3 linked regions of the Kluyveromyces lactis genome follow. The protein of the gene in region 2 purifies or fractionates together with the protein of the main gene of each other region. This does not show direct contact. Links are inferred from orthologs where the notes say so. Each region holds a gene or a part of one and is shown on either strand. Other genes may lie near its edges. The genes, in order: SNU71, SNP1 and PRP39.

Region 1 (3,836 bases), about 900 kb from region 2:
TTGGATCAGTAGGTCAGTTCTGATAATCTTTCTTTATTAAAAACCTCTAATAGATCCTTCTTATCAAATGTATAAAAAACTTATAAGTAATTTGAGATGAATCAATAAATGAATGAATGGAGGAACACAAAGAAAAGAAAGATGTATACACCAAAATATTACCACTGGTAACGTTCTTTGTTGAAAAGTTTGACCCTGACGATAAATCTCGAATCTAAAAACTTATTATCTTTTGCCTAAAGCAACCCGAACGAAAACAGAAACTAAATTCCACCATTATCAGGTGTGTACATAAGTTACAAGTAATAGAATCTCTATGTTTGTTCCTTTGTTTATCTCATCCTGCCAATTCTTCCTGTAACCGTTCTGGATCTGGTAAAAAATTGGTGAAGTTGAGAATGTATCGCTATATACGATATACAAAACGCGAATCAATATGAAACACGATTACCCGGACCTCTAGTAACCTCATGTTACCGCCCGATCTGGCTGGAACACTCGAATCGGGCGAAAAAATTTCGTGACAGTCACGTGAGACGTAACCGGGTAATAGAATCTCATTATTAGACATGTGACACACATACCTACATATACATATATATGTATATTCACATGTATGGTATATTCCACTACTGTTCCATCGCTTCCCATATACGGCTCACTAGGACAGGGCTATCTTCGTCGAACGTCTCTGTAAGCTCAGTCTCGAGTGCCTGTTTCGATTGATGTTCTTCGATGTTTTCAAAGATATATGAGACTAAGTCGGGCTCGTAAACTCCCAAGTATTCTTTGACGAGTTCTTCCACTACGCCGCTTTCCCTTAGTAGATTCAACTTCTGTTGGAACGCATCGGTTTCAGGAGTCTCTTCCTCTTCTATCTCATTCTTTGTCTTTCCAATGGATTTCTTTAGTGCTAATTTAATCTTTGGTGCAGCCGTTGTCGCATCTGCGTCCGATACCAATTTTGTCTCTGTCTCTGTCTCTGGCTCTAGCTCTAGCTCTAGTTCTGTCTCTGGCTCTGTTTCTGTTGCTTTTTTCTTTGGTACTTCTTCAGATTCCCGTTTACGGTCCTCTTCATCTGCCTTGGATTCAGATTCCTTGTATGGCCTGTGATGGTCGTGGTAAGGATCCATGGCAAGATGTAATAACTCTTTTAACATAGGACCTTTGTTCTTTTGTAAATGCGTTTCGTAGTTTTGTAACCTTTGGTATTCTTGTCGTAGCGATGAGTATTGGACCAGTAACGAATCTTGGAAACTATGAACCATGGATTCATACTGGGCTTCTTGCGCATCTCTTTCCGCTTGAACTCTTTTTTTTTCCGCTTCGTAATCGTCCGCATCTTCATCATCGTAACCCTCAACCTCGTCGTCTGAATCTTCAGAGTCACTTTCAGCTTCAGGGGCTGAACCTTTTTCCGAGCCTCCATTAGTAACCTTGATACGGTCAAATATATGCTTCAAGTTTTGTTTCCTCCGTTTTTCTTCCTCCGCTAGCTCTTTATTCCGTTTCTCTTTCTCTAACGTAATGACACGAGTTCTAAACTCAACAATATCCTTACACAATTGGTCTAATGAGGAACTCGGAAGGTCACTCAACGTACTTATATCCACGTTATACTCAACGGCACTATTTCCAGCCAACCCTTTCTCCTGAGATATAGAGCCTGGTTCAGATCTCAACATTGTAATTAATGCGGAGAACTCATCTTTTGCAGTTTCATCGAGTTCCTTAGCAGGAGAACCTTCCGTCAGATCGCAAACGAACCGTCTAGTGTTTTCATCCATGTGAAGTCCGATCCCATCTGACCCGTTGTCAAACAATTTCTCAAGTAACTGTATCGCTTTCCCATATTCTTCCACTATACTTTCCTGGAAACTTATATATACCGTCAACGTATTCACACAATCGACGTAACTCCATTGTTTGATAAATTTGGTCTCATTATCTTCAACTTGCAGCTTTTTCCGTATTAGATTGTCTAGTCTGTCCATAACTTTATCAATACCCTTGGATCCAAGTCCCAGTGGAAAATGTGCTAAACAAACGGTATGCAACTGTTGTTCTAACGAAATTGGTAAAAAGGACTTCAAATCAACATAGCGTGAAGTTGAAGTCTTGAATTCATCAGAATTGTCCGTTTCATTAGTCTTCGAGGCTACTGAATTCCCTTTATCATGGTCTCTATGGCTGTTGGCTTGTTTCAACGACTGTTCAAATTTGGGGATATCACTCTTCAAAATCGGCACATATCCTGGCTTCGGCACCTGTGATTGCCAGTTCTTCGTGTCTCCACAGCAGTATAATGTGGGCGACACAAACAATACAGTATCCATTAGTGAGTTAAACACGTTCGGCCTAGTAGTATCAGCGTTTATTTGCTAACTCATCGCTGAAACTTTACGTCTACTCTCTCGATATATATATTTCAAGATTTTTCCAATTAATTGATATTTACAAAAGACCAAAGTTAAACACACTGTACGTTATTTATATGATATCTGAAATTGAAAGATCGTTACTCACCTGCAGGGCCTCTTTCCAGAACTTGCTTAAATGTCTAGAGCCACTGTCACATGCAATGATGCAAACATTTGAACCCTTCGGTAAGTTTTCCGCATATTTCAGCACTGCGACTGCATTGATTGCAGTACTGGCACCAACGAATAATCCGTCATTTACACATAAGAATTTGGCCATCTTAATAGCTTCCTCGTCTGTAATTCTGATGGAATCATCTATATAATTTTCCGCTTTCAGAAAGTTGTTTGTAATTCTGTTAAGACCAATTCCTTCCACTAATGTGTCCACTTGATGTCTTCTTCTTGTTCCTTCTTTCTCTACGTTATCGTACATGACACCGTATTTGATTCTATTGTAGAAACCCGAGCCTTGCGGATCAGCCAACACAATATGTACTTTGTCACCTCTTTTCTCCTTTAGATAACGAGAAACACCGGCCATGGTACCACCAGTACCGCATCCCGTGATGAATGCATCCACTTCCCCATTTAATTGTAGATAAATTTCAGGTCCTGTCGTTTCGTAATGGCATTTCCAATTGGCCTCGTTCTCGAATTGATCTGCAAATACACCAACACCCTCAGTGTACTCTTCTGAACACGACTTAGCTGCATTTACGTATTGGTTCGGATCCACTATACTAGCAGGTTTTACCTTGTTCACTATTGCACCAAGTGCAGTTAAAAGAGAAAGTTTCTCTTGGCTTGTATCGTCCGGTAGCGAGATATGGCATGAGTAACCCAACGCGTTACAACATATTGCAAGGGATATACCTGTAGATCCGCTTGTTCCTTCAAAGATTCTATTTTTCTTATCACTTGAACCCTTAATACCTTCCTGCGATGAGATGGTTTTGATAATATTCAAGGCAACTCTGTCCTTTGCGCTACCACCTGGATTATTTAACTCCATTTTGGCAAAAACGTTCAAACCAGTATAATCGGAAAGAGATTTAATTCTTACCATTGGTGTATTTCCTATCAAGTCTTCCACTCCATCCTTTGGTGGTGATAGAGCAGTTAATGTAGTTGTCTTAACCTTATATGCATAGTATAACGATGCAACAGCCACGAAAAGGGATGTTACACAGGCATAATCCTTCCATCTGTCTGCAGCAGTCATCGTTACGGAGCTAGATCAAAGGATAACAGCATGCGCAACTTTCGCTAGACGACAAATACTATTGTTGATTAAGAACTTCTATTATAAAAAGGATTTCAACTAACTAAAAACTGTTACAATTTGTGTGTATATTATCTTCGAGTTAAAGACATCACGTGAGTCTGACCAGGGAGGAGTCTAGAAAGGAGAAG
Region 2 (2,918 bases):
CTATCACTGAAAAGGCAGGTATCAACACTTTCCTGCAAACCCTTTAATTTGTCCTGCAGATGGATAGAGCTGGTCTTAACTTCGATTAGACAATAATGCTGTTCAGTACTTTACGAGTTAACTCATACTTTAGATACCTAATGGAAATACTTAGCGAATGGGAAACTGAAAACGGTTTTCTTTATATGTGCGATTCGCTGAGTTGCCATTTTTTTTTTTTTTTTTGTTTGACTGGAATAATTTTTTCCATCGTTATTTTGGAATCAGTCATCGATCAAGAAATTACTCATGCATACAGAGGTAGTGGTTCAGTTATGCTTGGCCAGTGGGCACAATGTAGGAGAACTGCGTAGATATGAGAACAGAGGTAGAAATGGTAGGAAGTACATATAACATTTAGCCATGGCTCATCTGTATGGCTACTTATATGAATATATATGAAAATGTATATAGATCACTGCAGCAGTTCTGATCACGTGCTATTTGATGTGTCTTTTTATCTCATCTCAATACATCAATGTGTCTGTAGAACCATTGGAAGTATCATTGCGAGATCTGTCCCTCCTTGATCGGTAGCTAGAACTTGCAGTTTTTTGGAAATTTGATGCAGGTGAGGATATTGGACTAGTTGGTTGATAAGAATGGGAATGCCCTTGTGGAGGACCTCTTCTTTCGAAGGTATCGTGTCTTCTGATGGGTCTTCTAGCATGTTCATGCATCGGTCTTGTTGAAGCACCAGTTAATTTATTTACGAGATCTTTCCTTTGGTAACCTCGTCCTCCTAATCCTCCACCTAGACGTCGAGGTTTGAAGAATTTCACCGTTCTGCCTCTTTCTATATCAACGATGGATGTTCGGCCCATGATTTCTATTCCCTTCCTTACACCAAGCTCTCTGAAACACTGTTTGGAGTCTTCATAACTGGTAAACTGCACAAAACCGTATCCTCGGCTCTTACCGTCTTGGTCTCTTACTATTCTGCACGATTCAATGTCGCCGTATTTGACGAAACTCTTCTGTAGTTCAACTTCGTCTACGGCATAGTGTAACCGTCCGACAAATAATGTGCGGTAGGGGTCACTAGAAATGTTTGCATCTGATTCAGGGTGCCACTCTTGTATTTTCTTCATCAACTCCTCCTGTTCTTTGTGCGATTCGTTCATGGCTTCATCATATACTTTCAAGTGTTGGTTCTCTGATACGGGATGGGTTGCCTTCTTATACTCTGAAACATGTTGCAACACGGCTGATACACCAGTGAGTGCATATTTCTTGTTCTGGTTTCGCCTTACTCTCACTCTCGATGGTGGTAATGGTGGACCTTGTGTAAATAACTTTGATACTGAAGACGGAAGTTTGGTCAAAGTGTGAAAGCCATTATGCCTGTTGTATTTCCTCGTTTGTGGTTTCATCTATTAATTGGAATGGATATGTGCCAATATTATCTTTATTGATGCGCTTACCGCAGTATCGAGGTTAAGGTGTATGCGCTGAGGTAAAGTGTATGTAATTATATTCCATATTTTTGGCGCATCTTTACTATTTAGATGTTAAATGTTACAATTTTCACATAATTGATGGAAAAACCTTAAAAAGAGTGTGTCAAAATATGTATTTTAATGTGAATGCCTTTGACAGAAAGAAGAACCCAGAAAGACAGTAGATTACAAGGTCTGATTTGGAAAAATGAAATTGAAACAGTTGTTTATCTAACAACCTGGAACGGTTTATATTGAAAAATAAATGAATGTACATGAATATATATATTTATTTATATGCTAACTTCGTAAAAGAAATATTATTGGAATCATACTGAGTACTGATTATACGGCAGCAGTCTGTTTCTTACCGTGAATTAATTGATTTAGTAGATCGGAAGAATTGCTTTGTGGCTGGCTCATAACTTGCTGCGCCATGCCTTGCTGCGCCATGCCTTGTTGGGCTTGTAGTTGCATTTGCAGTGAAAGCTGTTGTTGCTGTTGCTGTAATTGCTGTTGCTGTAGCTGCTGCTTCTGCTGTTGTACTAATTGTGGTTGCTGGACAGCAATTCCCGGTGGTAACATGGTAGGTGTAGCCTTGTTTTGAATGAATGGCAGAAGAGAGGACATGTGGTCCACAGGTTTTATAGTAAGCAAATCACATAGTTTGGCACCCAAGACACCTTCAGATTGCTCACTACATCCAATCTTCTCAAATGAAAAAAGTGATGGGTAACTTTGATATGTTTCGTCATCCAATAAGTTGGAGTTGAATGTGTAGCTTCTTTCAGGAATATCTGATAAAAACTTAAAAGTTTGATCTAGGAACTTAACACATGTTGCCATTGGATCGTAAGGATCCTCGTATGTCTTTTCGCCCTTCTTCTTCGAACTTACGTTAGAAGAAGAGTTTGCTGTTGGGGCAGATCCAGTGGTCGTAGGAGTGCCTGGACCTGGACTGTTCAGAGTTTCCCCCAAGGAGCTTGACAACGTAGGGAAAGTGGTAGAAGTAGAAGTCTTGTTGAAAATAGTAGAAACTGGTGTGGGTGCTTGAGATATACCCCATGGGTTTGAACCAGATGGAACTGGAGCTGGTGTTAGCACAGGAGCGGTTTGCTTCGAGCTTGAAGTTGCAGCTGCTGGCACAGTAGAGTCATCTGTTCTCAATGAAGCATGAGCAAGCTTTGGCGTAGAGCTTGCACTTGTAGACGGTTTAGCAAGTGTAGGTGGTGCATGTGAGTGATGGGCATGTTCCTTCCTGGCATTGTTGAAAGCATCCGCTTCTTCCCCTGGTTCATGTAAAAACATACAGTTCGGATTTGGACATGGTTGTCCCCTCAAATACGAGGAGCAGTACTTTGTTGTACCATATGCTGCTTTCACTTGATGTCCATCAATATAGATACCATCTATGGCTTGAATACATTTTGCTGCATCGTC
Region 3 (3,673 bases), on a different chromosome or scaffold from region 2:
ATGGATTTTTACCATTTTTGTCTAACTCAGGGCAATCAATCCTTACAGACTTGGAATTAGAAGAATTGGATCAGATAACCACCGACGGCATAGTTCTATTATTCTCTTCGTTGCAGTTCCCTTTGTTGAAAAGATGTAGCTTGAAAAGATGTTTTGCTTTGGAGGATGCAGCCGTAGTTGAATTATTACTTAACTCCTCTTCCACCTTAGAAGAGTTGAATCTAAATGGTCTGAAATCCCTAACATCCAAAACTTTCACCTTCATGGCATGTCCTAACCTCAAGCAGCTAAATATAGGGTTTGTCCACTGTGTGGATAATGAAATTGTGGAAAAGATATCCAAGGACAATGAAAAGCTCACTATTATTGAAGTTTATGGTGATAATCAAGTCACAGGCAAATGCTCTCCTCGGAATGGTGTAAGCATTATCGGAAGGCAAAGTGACAGTATATAAATGATTAAAAAAATTCTAGGATCATGAAAATGCTTGAGTGTGAGAATGCCCTTTCAGCTACTACTTTAAATAATCTATAGACATGTAATCATCAAATTTAGGTTTCTGATGGATCTTTTCTAAATTTCTAAAAGTAGGCAAAGGTGCTGGATTGAGCTGCTTCGATGCAAGCGTCTCTATTATAGTATTTTTAATTTGAGGCTTATCAATGAACAATCCAGGATGACCGTTCGATCTATACTTTTCTGATTTATACCAGTCCTTGGTTAGCTTGGCGTTCGGCCTCCATGTTGGGTTGTTGATTTTGAACCTATTGTGAACTATTGGGTCAAACCCAAAACGGGATTGCGATAAATTGGTTTCGTACTCGGAATAATCTGCATTGATTAGATAAAACCCTTGGAAATCTCGTACGATATCATTGATAACTTTTGTTGGTAATACGATCTCAGTGCCTAATTGATCGACAAACTTTGTTAATCTGGCGATATTTTTTTGAGTCTTTTCAAACTTGTAGTAAGTCAACCAAAATAAGACTGAAGTCTTGATCGGATCCAATTTGGCGAAGTATGTAAAGTGTTTCCTGCATTGAATGACGTTCTTCAATACCAGCCAATGCACTTTTATTAGTTCAACTACCAGTATCGGAAGAGTAGTGTCATTTAGCATGGCAAGCAACTGCTGGGAAATGTCGTGATTTTCCGTATCTGCATTCCCTGATAGGTACGCCTTGATAGTTTTATCCAAAAATGTAGCATATTTACTCTGTTGTTCCAAGATCTTTTTGTCTTCATCATTCAAAGATGCTGCAAAATATCTTCTCTTGTGAAACCTTAAATATTTAATAGTTGAACTTGGATCATGTGGCCATTTAAGCTGGAACGTGTATAGAGCGTCCATATAGTGTTTGGAAGATAATTTATTATATGGATCCATATTACTTTCCAAATATTTGATGTATTTTTGCTTGAAAGATTTATTATCAGCAGGAAGAGCCCGGAGTGCTCTTTCAAACAAGGGGAACGTACATTCGGGACCAAAAGTCCTTTCAGTCCAGTCAATATAGGCTCCCCAGAAATATTCGTATCTTAAACATGGAATCAAACATCTCTCAAACGTCGATTTTATTAATTCTGTACTGAACTCAGTGTTGTTGATTAAGAAAGATAGATAAGCATCCCAATTCTGAATCTCATTCTCGGGAAGCTCAGGGATATTGAAAAATGGCTGTTTTATTTGTGATTCATATGTCCATATTTTGTTCACCTTCTCCTGGTTAGAAATAAATGTGGTATCCAAATGGATGCTTGATTCCCTATTAGCAAACTCTGGGTGATATTCCAAGAATTCCTTAAAGCTGGTGTAGTATCTTGCATATTGATGCAAAGGTTGCTGCATGACTTGTTTGTACACCTCAAATACGTTTTCCCAGTTCTGTAGTCTTGTTTCATATGCAATGTGCTTATCCCAAATATCGTGCGAGAGGAAATGAGATCCCACGAGGGATTCGCATTTCCTGAACTGGTTTCGTATCAGTTCACTATCATTCTGATTATGTGTTAGATAAACGTTCAACATATCAATCCAAAGATCTATCGACGTAGGGAACGAATGTAAAGATGCCTTTAAAGTAGAAATAGACCCTTCTAATCCATCTAGCTGATATTTCACCGCAACGTATCGTTTCCAGTAACCAAAAAATAACGGATACCTTCCCAATAACTCATCAAAAACTTTATATATATTGCTCTTCACATGTTCATTGGGATTATTGTATTTCTGTACCAATGCTTCTGTACCAACCACCAGTTTGTCGATAGTAGTTATATCGTTCCAGTCAACAGAATTATAACTCTGCACCCATTCATCGTTATTCTTCAGAAAAGTTTGGTCTAATCCTTCAAACATTTCATAAAATCCCTAGTTTCCTTCTTAAATTTGATATGCAAACCCCTGCTGCCGACTTCACACTCAAAACGGCTCACGGATAGCAGCTAAAGGCTCTTGTTCTGTTTGGTGGCATCATGCATCTTTAACAGAGATTTATCTTAAAGAATTACAATAATACGGTTCTTTGCAATTTTGAATCATTTTGGAAGCATGAAAGAAAAACAAACAGAGATAAACGCGCCTAAATGAGTGTTTAAAAGGTAATTATTAACTTAGTCGAATTCTGGGAATCTCAGTGTTTTATAGGAGTGCTCGAAATGCAGAATTGGCGTCTCAACAGCGGTTTAAACAGCAATTAATATAGTATCACGTCTCACGAATATGATTATTTTGTTTAAGGTTAATAGATACATCAATGACGGAAGCATTAAAGGTATGTTCGAGATGTAAACAAAGGAATAAACAAGGGAAAAGACCAGGGACAATCTTCGATTATCGATGTCTATACGTCCAGTTGTACTGGATGATGTCGGAGAAACATCATTTGAAGATGTTGAAAGCACATTTACTTATAAAGATGATATAGAGGTACCGAGATTGGCACCTAATTCAGCTACATCCACAACTACGGAAAATACCACATTCTCTAAGGATAAGAGGTATTCATCACACACGGAACTGGCGAGCGATCTTGATGATGATATGAACTATAACAGTGATTTTGAAGAGTACCAAAATGGTACAGACCTACCTCTTGCTGTGGATAGACGATTTAGGGAAAGTTCGGATCAGGACGAGCTAGCTGATTTGCAAGAACAACTGGAGAAGAAGCTATCATTGAACCTGAGAAATTCTAAGACCGGTGGTGGTAGTGGTACTAGAAATGTGGATCAATATATAAACCATGCGGGACTAGTGCGGCCATCGTTGAAGGATTCGGTACGACAGCGTAGATCGATGGTCGATTTGGCAACCCGTAGTAAAGGTAATATTACAAGCTTGAATTCACAGCAATCGCGTCGAGTACCGAACAGCAGGTCTTATATGAACCTTAGACCCAGTTCTGGTCGAACTCTCAGTTATAAGTCATCTATGCCATCGTTAATGAGGTTCAACCGTCAAGATGTGTTACTTGAGGACGAAGATGACGAAGATGACGATGAAGATGAAGATGATGAACCCTATCCATATGTGCCCAGAGTTAGAAGGAGTTACAGGGATCTTGGACCAAGGTTTGGTGAAAGAACTGATGACGGTAACGTTGTCCAAGACATTGCTGTTGAGGCTACAGAAATGGCTAATAATGGAGACGACGATGACGATAATTT

Evidence for each region.
Region 1: the proteins of SNP1 (region 2) and SNU71 purify together in Saccharomyces cerevisiae (affinity purification with mass spectrometry; 8 studies listed by BioGRID, with this or other methods). This does not show direct contact. The link is inferred for Kluyveromyces lactis from reciprocal best matches to the Saccharomyces cerevisiae genes SNP1 and SNU71.
Region 3: the proteins of SNP1 (region 2) and PRP39 purify together in Saccharomyces cerevisiae (affinity purification with mass spectrometry; 6 studies listed by BioGRID, with this or other methods). This does not show direct contact. The link is inferred for Kluyveromyces lactis from reciprocal best matches to the Saccharomyces cerevisiae genes SNP1 and PRP39.

Annotation. Positions count from the first base shown.
Region 1 is NC_006039.1:1,599,339-1,603,174, forward strand, and holds SNU71 (Snu71p), read right to left. Parts: upstream 2,337-3,836; coding exon 630-2,336; downstream 1-629. Other genes in the region: MCY1 (putative cysteine synthase), read right to left, coding at 2,491-3,645. UniProt on the Saccharomyces cerevisiae protein: Component of the U1 snRNP particle, which recognizes and binds the 5'-splice site of pre-mRNA. Together with other non-snRNP factors, U1 snRNP forms the spliceosomal commitment complex, that targets pre-mRNA to the splicing pathway.
Region 2 is NC_006039.1:703,693-706,610, forward strand, and holds SNP1 (U1 snRNP complex subunit SNP1), read right to left. Parts: upstream 1,413-2,918; coding exon 507-1,412; downstream 1-506. Other genes in the region: CCR4-NOT core ubiquitin-protein ligase subunit MOT2, read right to left, coding at 1,824-2,918. UniProt on the Saccharomyces cerevisiae protein: Involved in nuclear mRNA splicing.
Region 3 is NC_006037.1:712,504-716,176, forward strand, and holds PRP39 (Prp39p), read right to left. Parts: upstream 2,364-3,673; coding exon 516-2,363; downstream 1-515. Other genes in the region: UV-damaged DNA-binding protein RAD7, read left to right, coding at 1-455; BFA1 (Bfa1p), read left to right, coding at 2,844-3,673. UniProt on the Saccharomyces cerevisiae protein: Function prior to stable branch point recognition by the U1 snRNP particle to facilitate or stabilize the U1 snRNP/5'-splice site interaction. Has a direct role in the assembly or function of a catalytically active spliceosome.